Linked DNA regions of Elephas maximus indicus. The main gene of each other region encodes a partner of the protein of the gene in region 2 in a complex. Links are inferred from orthologs where the notes say so. Each region holds a gene or a part of one and is shown on either strand. Other genes may lie near its edges.

Region 1 (7,839 bases), on a different chromosome or scaffold from region 2:
CTTACAACTGTATGATGTGGGCAAGCTACTCAACTTTTCAACGCTTCAGTTTCCTTACCTGTAAAAAGATGTTAATAATAACACCTACTCATAGGGTCACTATGACACATAAATGAGAAAATGCACATAAAGTGCTAAGCAAAATGCCTAGCACACATTTAGTGTGTCCAACAGCATAACAGCTGTGATTACCATTATTATCTTTCCCTCTATACTAGTTCCAGGCACCTTTCCCGTTGTCTCAAAACTTGCTCAACTCTCCTGATTTTTCTTTAAAGTAATATATACCTTTTCAAGAATTTCCTACCTCATCCCAAGATTTCATTCCTTCCTTTCACCATCAAACTTCTCAAAATAGTATACACCAACCTTACCAGAAGCAGCAATGAATAGTGAGAACATCATGGACTTCAAAGCCAAATATACCTGTGTTTAAACCTGGCTCTCCCACTTAGCAGTTTTTATGACCTGGGACAAGCACTTAATACAAGCCTCGGTTTTTTCATGTGTAAAAGGGGGGATACTACCCATTTCTTAGAGTCATCAAGAAGATTAAACTGAAATAATATATGTAAAGTATCTGACTAAAGTAGGTGCTAAACAAATGCTAGTTCACCACTCCATATCCTTTCCTTAACCCCTTACAATCTAGGTTCTCTTTCTACCACTCAAACATCTTATCTCACTTCAGCTCTTACCAGCTTTATGATTTGGGGCAATTTGTCTTCTATAAACCTTAGTTTTTTTCTGTAAAACAGTGATCATAATATCTACCACATAAAGTTGTCCTGAGAATTAAGTGAAATAACATATGTATTTTAGCACGGTGCTTAGCCTGTAGTAAGCACTTAATAAATGGCAGTTGCCAGCAACTTCTTAATTGTCAAATTAGATGACCTGTTCAATTCTCTCCTTTTCTTTGCTTCCGTGACAACACACTGTTCTGGTTTGATTTTTACCAATGACCATTCCTTTTCTGTCTCTGTAACTGCTCCATGAAGCCTTTCTTAATCCCCTTTCAACCAAGTATGAGCTCTTTCTCTTTTGAGTCCTCAGAGCACTTCCTACACCTCTTGAGGCAAGGCACTTCCCTTACTGTGAGTTAGTCCTTTGTGTTATTTTTGCATCTCCACTGCTTAATTTAATCTCTTTTATTCTCATTGCCTGGCACTTATTTACTCATGTAGAATATATTAATCACCTAGTATAAGTCAGACCTGTGCTAGGTATATCAAGGATTAAAAAAAAAATTCCAACTAATAGCAACCCTATAAGACAGAGTAGAACTGCCTCATAGGGTTTCCAAGGCTGTACATTATCTTTATGGGAGCAGACTGCCACATCTTTCTCCCGTGGAGCAGACGGCAGGTTCAAACCGCTGACCTTTCAGTTACCAGCCTGGCGCTTTAACCACTGAACCACCAGGGCTCCTTAGGTACCAAGGATACAAAGATTAATATGTTATAATTATAGAGCTCAAGCTTATAGTTCAGGAGAGTAGAAGAGACAAGTAAATAGTTTATTATTCACAATGTGATAAACGTTAAGGTAAGAGTATGCCTAAAGTGCTCTGAGAGCACAAAGAAGAGTTATTTAGACTGGGGAGGTTGAGGATACACTGTTGAAAAAGGCACTCTGTACTTAGCATATGGGGAGGCCCTACATAAATATCTGTTACATCAATGAATGAACCGTGAGTAGGAACTTACTAGATAAGGATGGGGAAGGGCATTTAGGGGCCAAAGAGCAGGTAAAAAGGTGTGGAAGAGTGAAACAAGTAGTTCAGTATTGATGGGAGGAGGGTTCCTGAATGGCAGGCAACGAAGCTAGAGAACTAAAGCAGGGTAGGGTGTTCTAGGTACAGGAGTTTGACCTGTTTCCAGAAGGCAGATGATGGAGCGCCAATAAAGGGTTTTAAGTAGGTGAGGGACATAATCAGATTTGCGTTTTAGTAAAGCTACCCTGGCAGCACAGGAGAATGGATTCCAGGAGAGTCAGGCAATGAGTCCAGTTAGGCGGTTGCTGCAATAGTTCAGATAAATTATGAGAACCTGAATTTCAGAAACAAAGTGAGAAAGGCGAATCAAGATGAATACTGAGCGAAGTTCAAGTAAACTTCGGCTGAAATGAATTCATATTTGTATCTCCAGCAAGTCTGGCAGGTCATTTTTCAGTTAAAACCCGCTACTTAAATATTTGTAAACTGCTGTTACTGAACTTACTTCGTGAAGTGAAACAGCCAGCTGAGTCACTTCCCGTACACAGATTCCTAAGTAAAAACCCGTTGCCGTCGAGCGGGTTCCGACTCATAGCGACCCTACAGAACAAAGCAGTGCCCCATAGGGTTTCCCAAGGAGCGACTCGTGGATTTGAACTGCCGACATTTTGGTTAGCAGCCGAGCTCTTAACCACTGTACCACCAGGGCTCCTTCCTAAGTAAAAGCACCTTTTTTTCATTACAGAACGCAAAATAAAATTTTTGAACCCAGGGAGTAGTAACAATATGTATAAACCCGCGTACCGCAGAGAGACTCTGGGACCTCTCTATTCTAGCCTATTTCGCCCTCAAACATGTCGGAACAAAGTCTTTGGATAGGGTTAAGAGGCCCCGCCCCGTGCACCGAGACAAACGCCCAGAATTTCTCTTCCAGTTCGAGACCCAAACCTCTGCTGGTGCTCGCAGCTCAGCAGTTTTTACTGTGCCTCGGCAAGGCAGTCAGCCGCAGGAAATTGAGGAAAGCGGTGTCCCAAGCCGAGGAAAATCTAAATGGAAAGGCAGGTGTTTTTAGGCTAAGAGTTTGAAGCTTCAAACGTTAATGACTCCCTGACCTTGATTATCTTCCTATGACTCTACTCCCACCCCGCCCCTTGCTGTCAGGCCTCTTTCTGAAGTCAAGAGGATCACTTTTACACTTACTAGAAAGGCTATCTGTACCCAAGTAAGCTAAGCAAGGTGTCTTTTCACTTACCCTAACGGCCGCCATGCCTGTGACCTCTCCGCCCAACTTTTCATACGGAGAGCGAAGAGGGACAAAACACTTCGACTTGGCTCTCTTCAGGGCAGCCCCGCGCCGTCCCGCCCTTTCTCCGCCCTCCTGGAGCCGTTTCAGGAAGCTGCTGCTGCTATTCGTTGGCTGCGGGCCGGAGAAACAGTTTCATCCTTGTACCCGACGCTCCCTGTCCCTGGTAAGGAAACCCTGGTGGCTAGTAGTTAAGTGCTATGGCTAACCAAAAGCTCGGCAGTTCCAATCCACCAGGCGCTCCTTGGAAACTCTATTGGGCAGTTCTACTGTGTCCTATAGGGTCACCATGAGTCGGAATGTACACCACGGCAACGGGTTTGAGTTTTGACCCTGATAACCCCGGTGTTGCAGTGGTTAAAGCGCTCGACTACTAACCGAGATGTCTGGTCCTGGGAGGAGATTTGGCAGTCGGCCTCCTTAAAGATTTACAGCCTTGGAAACCTTACGGGGCAAGTAGGGGTGGGGGTCGACTGGAGGGCAGTGGGTTTGATTTTTCTTTTTGGTCCCTGTTTAAATGCAGGGATACATACCACAGGGGCTGGAGACACAAACTGCACTAGAAGCGAGTTCCAAAAATTCCGAATCTTGTGAACTTATTCTCTGAAGGAATGCATGTAGCTCAGTCTGAATGCGTTGAGGACTTACTGTATAACTGGGAGTTCTCCAAACTTACTTTAATGAATACAATGGCTGTAAAATGATGTTATAACAGTGTGCTAATTTGAAGGTTTCATATACGTTATATGACACTCGACATTAACCACAAAAATTATTTAGAACATAGGCAAAAAAAAAAAAAAGTTTTGTAGGGAGAAGTATTTTATCACAGACATTGCTTAGATCACCAGCTCTGCGATGATAATAAAAATCAGAACAACTTTATTTCATTGTATTATGTATTATTTCTAAATACAGATAATCCGTCTTCCTTATTGCCTGCACTCAGAGTAGACCACTCCACCCCTGCCTTTGGTGCCCCGCTGCTGGGCATGAAGTAATGAACAATACCCACACAAGCCCTGACCTGGTGGACCTTAAGTGTACATTTTTGACCAAAAAAAAAAAAAAGACAAATGAATAAACAAGATCATTGCAGATAGTGATAAATACTATAGAGGGTGACAGGGTTGGGGCTGGAGTTACTTTAGATTGGAAGGAAAGAAAACTTGAAGGAGATGGCATTTGAGTTGAGACTTGGCAACATGAGTGTCCACTTATGAATATCTGAGTGTTCCAGTCAGAAGAAACAACAAATGCAAAGACCCTGAGGTGGGAACAAATTTACTGGAGCTTGGTGAGTGAGGTAGAAAGCAGAAGAGAAGTCACACGGGAATCAGATCGTATATAAAGAATATGGATTTTCTTTTTTTTAATTTATTTTTAAATATTGATTATTATTATGGATTTACCAAAGTTGCAGATTGTTTTGGGCACAAAAGGCAGCTTTGTGTAATTGAAAGTATTAGAATCAAAATAAGATCTTGGCCTCTAAAAGAGGTTGTTGTTAGTTGCTGTCGAGTTGATTCTGACTTACAACTACCCCATGTGTGCAGAGTAGAACTGCTTCATAGGGTTTTCAAGGCTGGGACCTTTCGAAAGCCAGGCCTGTCTTCTGAAGTGCCTCTGGGTGGGTTCAAACCACCAATCTTTTAGCTAGTAGCTGAGTGCTTAACAGTTTTTGCCATCCAGGGACCCCTCTAACGGAGGAGTCTTATAAACTAAAGGGTTGAACTAGACCAAAGGTGCTCAAATTTAGTGTGTGTAAGAATCACCTGGACAATTTTATAGAATGCAGATTCCTGTGTACTACCCCCTGGATGTTAGTATTCATTTGGCCTAAGGTAGGGGAATGTCTGATGTGTACCTCAGGTGATTCTAATGCAGGTAGTCCTTGGGCCACACTTAGAAAAACTAGATGGACTGGATGACTTACTATATGTCATTTCCAGTTCTGACATTCTAGGATTCTGTATGGGCTCTTGTCTGATGATGTTTGGTGATCCTTGGCAACTTCAGTATCCTTGTAGACCCATGATACCCTCATCTCCAGTGACTTTTACACTCATTCCAGTTCAGTTATCCATAACAATGGCCATACCCTTGACTCTGTTATCATTAAGAACTACTCCACCTCTGAGATTTTAAATTCAGGTACTCTCGTCTCTGACCTCAACTATTATTCTTCAAGCTCTTTGATTTTGATCCACACTCTTTTTTTTTAATCTCATCAAGATCTTTAGGTCCTTTATGTCTGTATTAGGTATCTATGGCTATATAACAATTTATCCCCAAAATTTAGCAGTGTAAAAAACAAGTATGTCCTCATGACATGACAGCTAGCTTGCCCCAGAATGAGTGACCCAAGGGAAAGAACAAGGTAGAAGCTATATTACCTTTTATATCCTAATCTTGGGTGTTATACATCACATTCTATTCATTGGAAATGAGTCATTAAGTACAGCCCATACTCAAGGGGAGAGGAAGTAAGCTCTACTTTTGAAGGAAGATATACAAAATAATTTATAGGCATGTTTTAAAACCACCACCACATCTCTCCTTTTTCACTGTTAGGCCCTTCCAGTCACATTTTCTTTTCCAGCTAATCTAAACCTCATGGTACATCTCTTCCACTACTTTGTTTGCAATAAACTCAACTACCTGACCTTATTGGAACGATTTTGTTTTATCCTCTGAAAAAAACCTCCATTCTGGACCAATCTAACTAACATTAGGTAGCTGTTTCACCTCTTCTTTATGGTGGCTATTTTAAACCTTTTTTTTAATGAACACAAACTGACTGTTGTCTCATTCTCCTTTGGGGGCTCCTCCTCTCTTTCCATTCACTAAGTCTTGATTAGGTTTAGCTATAAGTGACAGAAAATCATATATATCAGTAATAACCTACTGTCTGTTGCCTTTTCTTATAAATGTAGGCAGTTCAGGGCTGATATGGTGGCTCTGTGATTTTCAGAAATCCAGGCCTCTTCTATCTCATTGTTTTAACATCTTCAACATGCGCTTCCACCTACTGGTTCAAAATTGCTTTACTAGTTCCAGCTGTTACATCTGTATTCCAATAACAGGAAAGTGAAAGGGGGGACAAGAGAGATACACCCCTCCACATTAACGACACTTCTCAAAAGTGTAATATACACTGCTTCTGCTTATATTCCTTTGGCTAGAACCTTGTCACATGGCCACACTTAATAGTAAGGGAGGCTAGAAAATTAAGTCTATATTCTGAGCAGTGATGCGTCCAGCTAAAAATTATGGGATCTATTATTATTATAGAAGGGGAGAATAGACATTGGAGTTTCTTCCACAGACCTTTATTCTTTTCACTTTATACACTCTGGATAATTTCTTGCTTCCTATGACTTCAGTTACTAACTATATGGAGATGACCCCAAACTGTATCTCCTGCCTAGACCTATATCTAAACCTCAGACTACGTATATTAATTCATTCATGTATTCATTTGTTATATATGTATTTACGTTAAGGAGCTTAGACTTCATCTTAAAAACAATGGAGGACCATTGAAGTGTTTCAGGAAAATGGGTAGATGCTATCAGATGATCACTTTATTTTCACTGTAGAGAATGAAATGGGAGTATTGAGTCAAGACCAATAATTGAATCATCCAAACTGCAACACTTTTAAGGGAACATTATGGGGACACTATATGTAATTACCCTGGAGCAACGTATAAAAACTGGGCCTGTTCTGGAAAACAGGGATGTATGGTCATCCTGCTTATCTAAGGCCATGTATGATCTGGTCTACTTTTTCACCTTCAGGCTACTTTTGTCCTCACACTCAATACTCCAGCCGCACTGAAGCCTTTCTAGTACCAGGAACATGCTCCACTTTCTTTCACCTTTCTGGGCTTTTGTACTATGCTGCTGCTTCTGCCTAGATCTCCTTGGCTAATTTGTCCAAGGTCACATAGTTATTAATCCAAATTTTTAACATGGCGTGATGGTTAAGGTTGTGTGTCAACTTGGCTGGGCTGTAATTCTCAGTGGTTTGGCATTTGTGATGTAGTTTGGCAGTCATATGATGTTGTGACCACTTCCATGATAAGATTTGATATAGTGTGATCACCTCCATGATGGGATCTGCTGTGAGAAGCCAGTTAGTTGAAAGGGAGTTTCCTTGGGCATGTGGCCTGCATCGAATATAAGTGGACTTTTTGGCAAGGCTCACGGGCTTTTGCTCACTCTGGATCCTGCAGCCGTCTCCTGTTTGTCTGACCTCTGGTTTTCAAGACTTGAGCTTGTAACTTACCTGCCATCTTGCCTGCTGATCTTGGGATTCATCGATCTTCGTACTGTGAGCAAGAGCCCTGCTGTCTGACCTGTGGATCTTGGGTTCACCAACGCCTGTGGCTATGAGAATCAGGAGAAGCCCGTATCCTAACCCATGGACTTGGGACATTCCAGCCTCTACAATCGTGTGAGCCTTTTCCTTGATATAAATCTCTATATGTATTTATACGCTTTACTGGTTTTGCTTTTCTGGAGAACCTAACCTAAGACACATGGCTCATCAGGTTCTTATTTATCTGGCCACTGTTTATCTCTCCAGCCTCATCTTTTCGCGTACCTGGAGCTATGTCTTAGACTTGAGCTCGAGTTTTAGTAGGCAGTAGAGAAGTACTCATAGAGAGACAGGTTAATATGTTGGCAACCACGGAGAGCCTCCAATGCCCACTTTTCCGGAAGGAAGCTTGTAGCCAAACTCAGGTCACTGCTGGATTAATAGAAACTACTCAGTGGTGCCACACGCCCAGGGTCAGTGTAATACCTCCATG
Region 2 (6,832 bases):
AACACATTTCCCGTGGTGGCCCTGGGGCTGAGTGTTGGAGGTCCAGCAGGGACACCTGGACGTGAGGCAGGGCCTTAGAGAGGGCTTCCTGGGGACATGATACTGGGGGGTGCGGCCCCTGAATGGCAGTGCCCATTAGGCCTGCCCACTCCAGAAATGTCCAGGGCTGCCAGGGACAGGGTGGAAGCTGGGGCTGGGGGCCAGGGGAAGGAGGGCTGGCTGGAAGGTGGGCAGCGGTAGACTAGCCAGCTGAGTAGGAGGGAAGATTCGGCAGCCTCAGCTGGGGCCGAGGGTGAAGGAGGCATGGATTCCCGTGCCCCGGCTCCCGGACTACCCCACTGAAGCTCAGCCCCGCAAGAGCCAAGCTCCCTGGGCTCGCCCTCAGCACCTTCTCAGCCTTTCTAGCACCCCGAGCACTGTCTCCGGAGCGCCAGGGTCCGCTGTGTGCCTGGATTCCCCCAGGCCAGGGCCTAGACAGTGCCCGAGGAGCCCCAGGCCAGCACGCTGGTTGGGAACACTTCAGAAGTCCTTTATTGGGCCCATAAGGCCGTGAGCTGCCCTCAGAGGGGTCCCAGACTGGAGTCTTCAGGTCCATGGTGTCCCTGCCCCCATCCTGGCTAGAGCAGGGGCTGCATCCGAAGCACTACTTGGAATGCTCCTTGGCGCGCTCCTTGATGTAGTCCCAGCCCTTCCTGGAGTAATGGCAGGCCTTGGAGGGAGCCACTGACAGTGCTGACATCACCGTGACGATACCTGTGCAGAAGGGGGCCGGGGCGGCTGCCCGGTGAGGCTCCCCACTCAGCTACCCAGACCCTTCAAACAAGGGAGTTGGTCCAATCCCCAAGACACTATAGGTTCAAAAGGCTTTTAGAGGAACCACCTCCTGCACTGTTACTCCAAGTGGAGAAACTGAGGCAGAGGAGGGACTTGTTGTTAGTTGCCCTCTAGTTGATTGACTTGGGGCAACCCCACGTGTGCAAAGTAAAACTGCTCCATAGGTTTTTGAGGCTGTGACCTTTCAGAAGCAGATCACCAGCCCTTTCTTCTGATGCCCCTCTGGGTGGGTCCCACCTGCCGACCTGTTGGCTAGCTTAACCTTTGTGCTTCCCTGGAGCCGGAAGAGTCAGGGCCTTGGTTTGTGGGAGGTCACATGACAAGCTCAGACCCTAATCCTCCATCACCATTCTACCCAAGCAATGCACACACCCCCCACCCCCTGCCAGCCTCTTAGCCCCAGTCAAGTCTCTATCTCCTCTTCTATCTCCTCCATTAGACCTGTGGAGGCATACCTGGGGCTAGGCTAGGCAACCCATTACCCCTCCAAAAAGAGGCCCCAGGGGCCTACCTGAATTCCAGGAGTCGCGGAAGGAAAAGTTAAGCTTCGGAGCGGGTGGGAGCTGGGAAGAGAGAAAGAGATGGGGTTGGTGAGGGGAGAAGGCCCAACAGCCCCTCCAGATGCAGGGAGAAGACCATGTGCCTCAGAATCAGGTCTGCACAGGGAGGGACCCAGGGAGACTCCAGAGCTGACCCCCGCCCCCCGCCCCAGCCCTGGCCTTCCTCCAGCCCAGGGTACCTGGGGTATCTGCAGGCCCGTCTGCTTGCACACGTACTGGCTGAACTGGTACATGGCTGGGGGGACCACCTCTTCAGCCTTCCGAAGGGCCGCCTGGCTCTTGTCGCTGGGCCCCAGTAGGTCCTGGTCATACACCAAGTAGACTGCGCCTCCTGCCACACTGCCCTTGATAAGAAACCTGCGGGAACAGGAGGGAGCCACAGAAGCTCAGCGAGCACGGCAGGCCACCCTCAGGGGTCCATGAACACAGGGAGAAGTTGGACTCTCCTGGCGGGGGCGCGGATCACAGTCGAGGGTGTCACATGTGTAGCCAGGGGAAGCACAGACCCCCCCCCCCAATACTGACAGTGTGCAAAGCAAAAATGCTCAACTCTATTTAACTGGCAAACTAAGGCACGGAGACGGACAGTGGGCCACTCAACGTCCAGCGGAGAGCAGTGGACAGCGAAGACTTAAGACCCTGGCCTTCTGACCGCCAGCCTAGGGACGGGGCCTTCCAAGTGTTTCCGAGCGTTTCGTGCATGTCTCACGCTGCGCCCAAAATAAACGTGTGTGGAAGGATTCTCTGGGTATTCCCGTTTTGCAGAAGAGACAACTGAGGATCGGAGGTATCTCGGCTACAGTGGGCACTCGAGATCGCTGGGAGGTAGAAAGGAGGCGCTTATGCGGCTTCTGCAAGCCCGCCCCGCCTAGCCTCAGTTTCCCTATTTGGGCTATGAAGGCCTGACACTACAGGAAGCGAAGAGAAAGGCCTAGACCAAACCGCAGGGGGTGGTGCCCGCAGGAAGGGACTTTCTCTGGGGTCCAGGACCCGCCCGATGGTCTCACGCACCTCATTAGCGACCACACGCGGGCCACCATGGTCACTCCACTCCGCGCGCAAGGACACTCGGCTGGCCCGCCACTTCCGGCGGCGGCGCCGCAGAAGCCTCTGGGAAGGGTAGTCTCTCTTGCCACCCGCAAAGGCCTCCGGGAGTCAGAGGCGGAGACTCCCTGGCTCCAAGACGCCAGAGAAGGGCTGTTGTCCCGCCGCGAAGGGCTCGTGGGAAGTGTAGTCTTCACTCTCCGGGATGCCGCAAAGCTGCTGGGAAATGTAGTCGGCAGAGATCTGCAGAGCCGCCGAAAGTCTCGCCTGGCCGCGAAGTCTCTTGGGAAATGTAGTCCAGTCCGGCTCCGCCCTGGCAGCGCAAGGGGAGGGAGGTATCGGACGTCTGGAGAGGCCTAAGGGTAATAACGAAGGAGATGCTGGGGCTCGTGAGACTCACCCGCGCCCGCGCGGGGTACTGAGGGCCCAAGCCTAGGGGAGAGCGCCTAGAAGGAGGTTGTCACGGCAACGCGGTGGCTGAATAGTTCGACGGAGGCGGGCCCGAAGTCACGTGATACACATTAGGCGTGGAACCTCAGTCTAGTGGGCGGGGCCGGGGCCGCAGCCGGGGGTGGGGAAGCAGGGCGGGAGGCCGTTGCCCCGGCAACGCCTGGCGCGGAGTCCCCACGGCCTGGTCTCTCCGGGATGGGTTAGGAGTCACGTGACTACGGCCCTGCGGGACTGGTAGCGGTCGGGTGCTCGAGCGAACGCGGCCGGGAAAGGGAGGCTGGAGGGAGGGTCGTGTTTTGGCTCCCAGGCTGGGACCCCAGCCGGGCAGGACGGCGGGGGCAACTGAGGCCTGAGTGGGTGAGTGCGCAGGTGGAGGTGTGCAGTGGACCGCACGCCCCCTTTGCCCAGAGAGTAACATTAGACAGGCGAGGTTAAGGACCCTGTCGGTTGTGCAAGAATCCGGTGCCCCCATTCCTTAAGGCTGCTTCATCCATCCATCCATCCCTCCCTCCATCGCTCCCACCTCCCCACCTCCCCCATGGGCTTCTGTGGTGAGGACGGGGGGTGGAGGGTGTTTGATTGGCTTCATGGACTTTCCTGGAAGAAGGGAGAGGTGGGAGTGCATTCACTGCTAAGGGGGTACCTGGCGAACTGGAATAGGGTGAGGGGTTCACTTTTCTGAGAACCGAAAGATTCATATATGGGAGTAGTGGGCAGAATGTTGGAGAGGTGGGCAGGGGCCAGGCCTGCTGGGCTTCTTTGGCTGAGGTGAGGAGCCTGGCCTCGTCCAAGGGCAATGGGGAGCCCTGGGAGGGTTTGGAGCAGAAAGACCGCAGGTAGATTTCTCTTGACAGTGAACGTGTACCAAATTATGAAGATAATTTCAGGCGATGACAGAATGTTGAGGAGGAGCTCAAAAGGCTAAAGTTAAAGGAAACAGAGACCCGACAAAGGGCCTGGAAACCCTGGTGGTGTAGTGGTTAAGTGCTACAGCTGCTAACCAAGAGGTTGGCAGTTCTAATCCACCAGGGTGTTCCTTGGGAACTCTGTGGGGCAGTTCTACTCTATCCTGTAGGGTTGCTATGAGTTGAAATCGATTCAATGGCAGTGGGTTTGGTTTTCGTTTTTTTAGAAAGGGAAAACCCATTGCCATCGAGTCGATTCCGACTCATAGCAACACTATATATATATATTTTTATAGAACAGAGTAGAACTGCCCCCCATAGGGTTTCCAAGGAGAAGCTGGTGGATTCTAACAGTCGAGCTTTTGGTTAGCAAAGGAGCTCTTAACCACTGTGCCACCAGGGCGCCATTTAGAAAAGAAAGCCCTTTTGGAAATAATTGTAGATTACAGAACATCCATTCACATGTGCTTGGGGAAAGCATCGCAGGCAGAGAGAACAGCCAGTGCAAAAGTCCTGGGGCAGCATGTTGGTGTGGTTGAACAGAATGAGCAAGGGGGCAGGGAGGAGCTGGCCCACGCAGGACCTCTTTGGCCATTGAGGAGTGGGGTTTTGTCCTAAATCAAAGGGGAGAACTTTCAGCAGGGTTAGGACAAGATGTGATCGGGCTCGTGGGTGAAGGGAGAAGGCTCCGAGCCAGGAGAAGGTTGGTGCAATAGTTCAGGTGAGCCCAGTGGTGGCTGTGGAGATGTAAAGGAGGGGACAGGCCCAAGGCCATCACCAAATGCTGATTCAACAAAGGTGCAGCTGGAGAAACGGTTGTGGCTGTGGCCACTGCAGGCCCAGGGAGGGCCATGAAGGTGCTGCTCTTCACAGGGCTCGGGGCCCTGTTCTTCGCCTATTATTGGGATGACAACTTTGACCCAGGTGAGTGACCAGGGCTAGGGGAGGGGAGAAGGTATTGGGCCTGCTGTCCTGTCCACCTTGAAGGCTGAGCACCCCTGCCCACTGCCAGACAGCCTCCAGGGAGCCCGTGTGCTCCTGACAGGGGCCAGTGCCGGCGTCGGTGAGGAGCTGGCTTATCACTACGCCCGCCTGGGTGCCCGCCTGGTGCTCACCGGCCACACGGAGGTCCTTGTGCAGAAGGTGAGCTGCCTCGTTGGTCAGTGTGGGGTGGGGTGCAAAAGGGAGCCTGGGGTTGAATTCCTGCACCCATCCAGGCTTACTGTGTGACCTTGGGCAAGTTGCTTAACCTCTCTGAGCCTGTTTCCTCATTTGCAAATTGGAGACAATAAAAGTATCTTCTCGTGGGTTGTGGTGATGTGTCGATTCAATACGGCAGTGAGTGTAAAGCAATGAATTGATAAAGTCCAACAGCCACTGAAAGCCCGTGTTCTCTAGAGAAGGGTGGATGCAACAGCCCATTGTCCAAAGGGAGCTTGTGGCTCTTGGGAACAAACCTTCCAAATTTTCCGGAGAAGCCAGAACTCTGGAGATGGATGTGAAATCTCCCGAGTTTGTAATGTTGGTGATTGGTTAAACGAAACGTCAGTAGGTCATTCTGGCCCAGGGGGCCGCCAGTTTACAGCCTCAGTGCTAAAGCTTTGGGCGTAATGTTGAGTGGCACCCGAGGCTCACAGTAGGTGAGGGGGTTTCAGTCTGAGGACCCAAGAGGGGGCCAGCTGAGGTGGAGGGGCCCACGGGCAGCTCTGCCCTCCCCCCCAGGTGGTAGGGAACTGCCGGAAGCTGGGCGCCCCCAAGGTCTTCTACATCGCGGCGGACATGGCCTCCGCTGAGGCGCCGGAGCGCGTGGTGCGGTTTGCGCTGGAGATGCTGGGTGAGGGGCGGGGCCTAGGCCGAGGGGCGGGGCCTAGGCCGAGGGGCGGGACGCTAACTGGGTGAGGGTGTGGCAGCGACGGGTGTCCTGGGGGCGGGCACTTAACGGGGTCGGGCGTGGCTAAGGGCGGACCCGCGCTGGATCCAGGGATTGGGACACCGGACAGGGACGCCTCGGACGTGGGACTAACCTGTATGAGATCCAGGGGGTAGCGTCCGGCGCGGGGCCTCCCTAAACCCAGGGGGTGTTACTGGGGCGGAGCTCACTGTATTCAGGGGGCGGGGCCTCGGGGGCTGGCCCCGGGCTGACCGGCCTCTCCGGGCCAGGCGGGCTGGACTACCTTGTGCTGAACCACATCGGCGCTACCCCGGCCGGCACGCGGGCCGGCACCCCGCAGGGGACGCGCTGGCTCATACAGGTGCTCCGTCCCCGTCGCGGCCCTGGTCTGCTCCACGGCGCCGGTCCGTCCTCCCGTCCGGGACCACGCCCCTCCCAAACCTCTGGCCCCGCCCGTGCCTGCCCCGCCCCTAGGCCCCGCCCCTGCCTGCCCCGGTCCCTGCCCCTTTGGGCCTTGGCCCCGCCCCGCCCCAGGCTTCGCCCTGGCCTCGTCACCCCTGGTCACCGCCTCTAGGTGAATTTTCTGAGCTATGTACAGCTGACTTCCTTGGCGCTGCCGAGCCTGACGGACAGCAAGGGCTCCCTGGTGGTGGTGTTCTCGCTGCTCGGTGCGTACACATGGCCTCGGTTCTTCGGGAGGGGTCTTGGGAGGGGGTGACCGCTCATCCTGGGGGGCTGCAGGCAGGAAGGCTTCCGGGAGGATGAGGCGCACCTTGTAGCCGGTCAACCCCGCCCATGCCACGCCCATGCCACGCCCCTAGGCCGCGTGCCCGCCTCCTTCTCCGTCCCCTACTCAGCAGCCAAGTTCGCGCTGGAGAGTTTCTTCGGCTCCTTGCGGCGGGAACTGGACGTGCAGGACGTGAATGTGGCAGTCACCATGTGCATCCTGGGGCTCCGGGATCGCGCCTCGGCCGCCGAGGGAGTCAGGTGAGGTCGGGCAGGGGGCCGGGCGCGGCCGGGGGCTGTCGGGGCCGTGCAGCCTCCGCCGCAGCCCCCCACCGCGCCCTCCCGTCCCCAGGGGCGTCACGAGGGCCAGGGCGGCTCCGGAGCCCAAGGCGGCCTTGGCCGTGGTCCGCGGCGGCGCCACG

The links.
Region 1: MICOS13 (region 2) and APOOL share a complex: the UniProt entries of both Homo sapiens proteins name them as parts of the mitochondrial contact site and cristae organizing system (MICOS) complex. The link is inferred for Elephas maximus indicus from reciprocal best matches to the Homo sapiens genes MICOS13 and APOOL.

The regions. Positions count from the first base shown.
Region 1 is NC_064846.1:80,232,160-80,239,998, forward strand, and holds the start of APOOL (MICOS complex subunit MIC27), read right to left. Parts: upstream 3,015-7,839; 5' UTR 2,985-3,014; coding exon of another isoform or gene 2,970-2,984; intron 1-2,969. UniProt on the Homo sapiens protein: Component of the MICOS complex, a large protein complex of the mitochondrial inner membrane that plays crucial roles in the maintenance of crista junctions, inner membrane architecture, and formation of contact sites to the outer membrane.
Region 2 is NC_064821.1:8,832,189-8,839,020, forward strand, and holds MICOS13 (MICOS complex subunit MIC13), read right to left. Parts: upstream 2,795-6,832; 5' UTR 2,435-2,794; coding exon 2,406-2,434; intron 1,752-2,405; coding exon 1,574-1,751; intron 1,398-1,573; coding exon 1,346-1,397; intron 754-1,345; coding exon 644-753; 3' UTR 509-643; downstream 1-508. Other genes in the region: HSD11B1L (hydroxysteroid 11-beta-dehydrogenase 1-like protein), read left to right, coding at 4,645-4,717, 4,806-4,936, 5,516-5,627, 5,954-6,088, 6,259-6,352, 6,506-6,671, 6,763-6,832. UniProt on the Homo sapiens protein: Component of the MICOS complex, a large protein complex of the mitochondrial inner membrane that plays crucial roles in the maintenance of crista junctions, inner membrane architecture, and formation of contact sites to the outer membrane.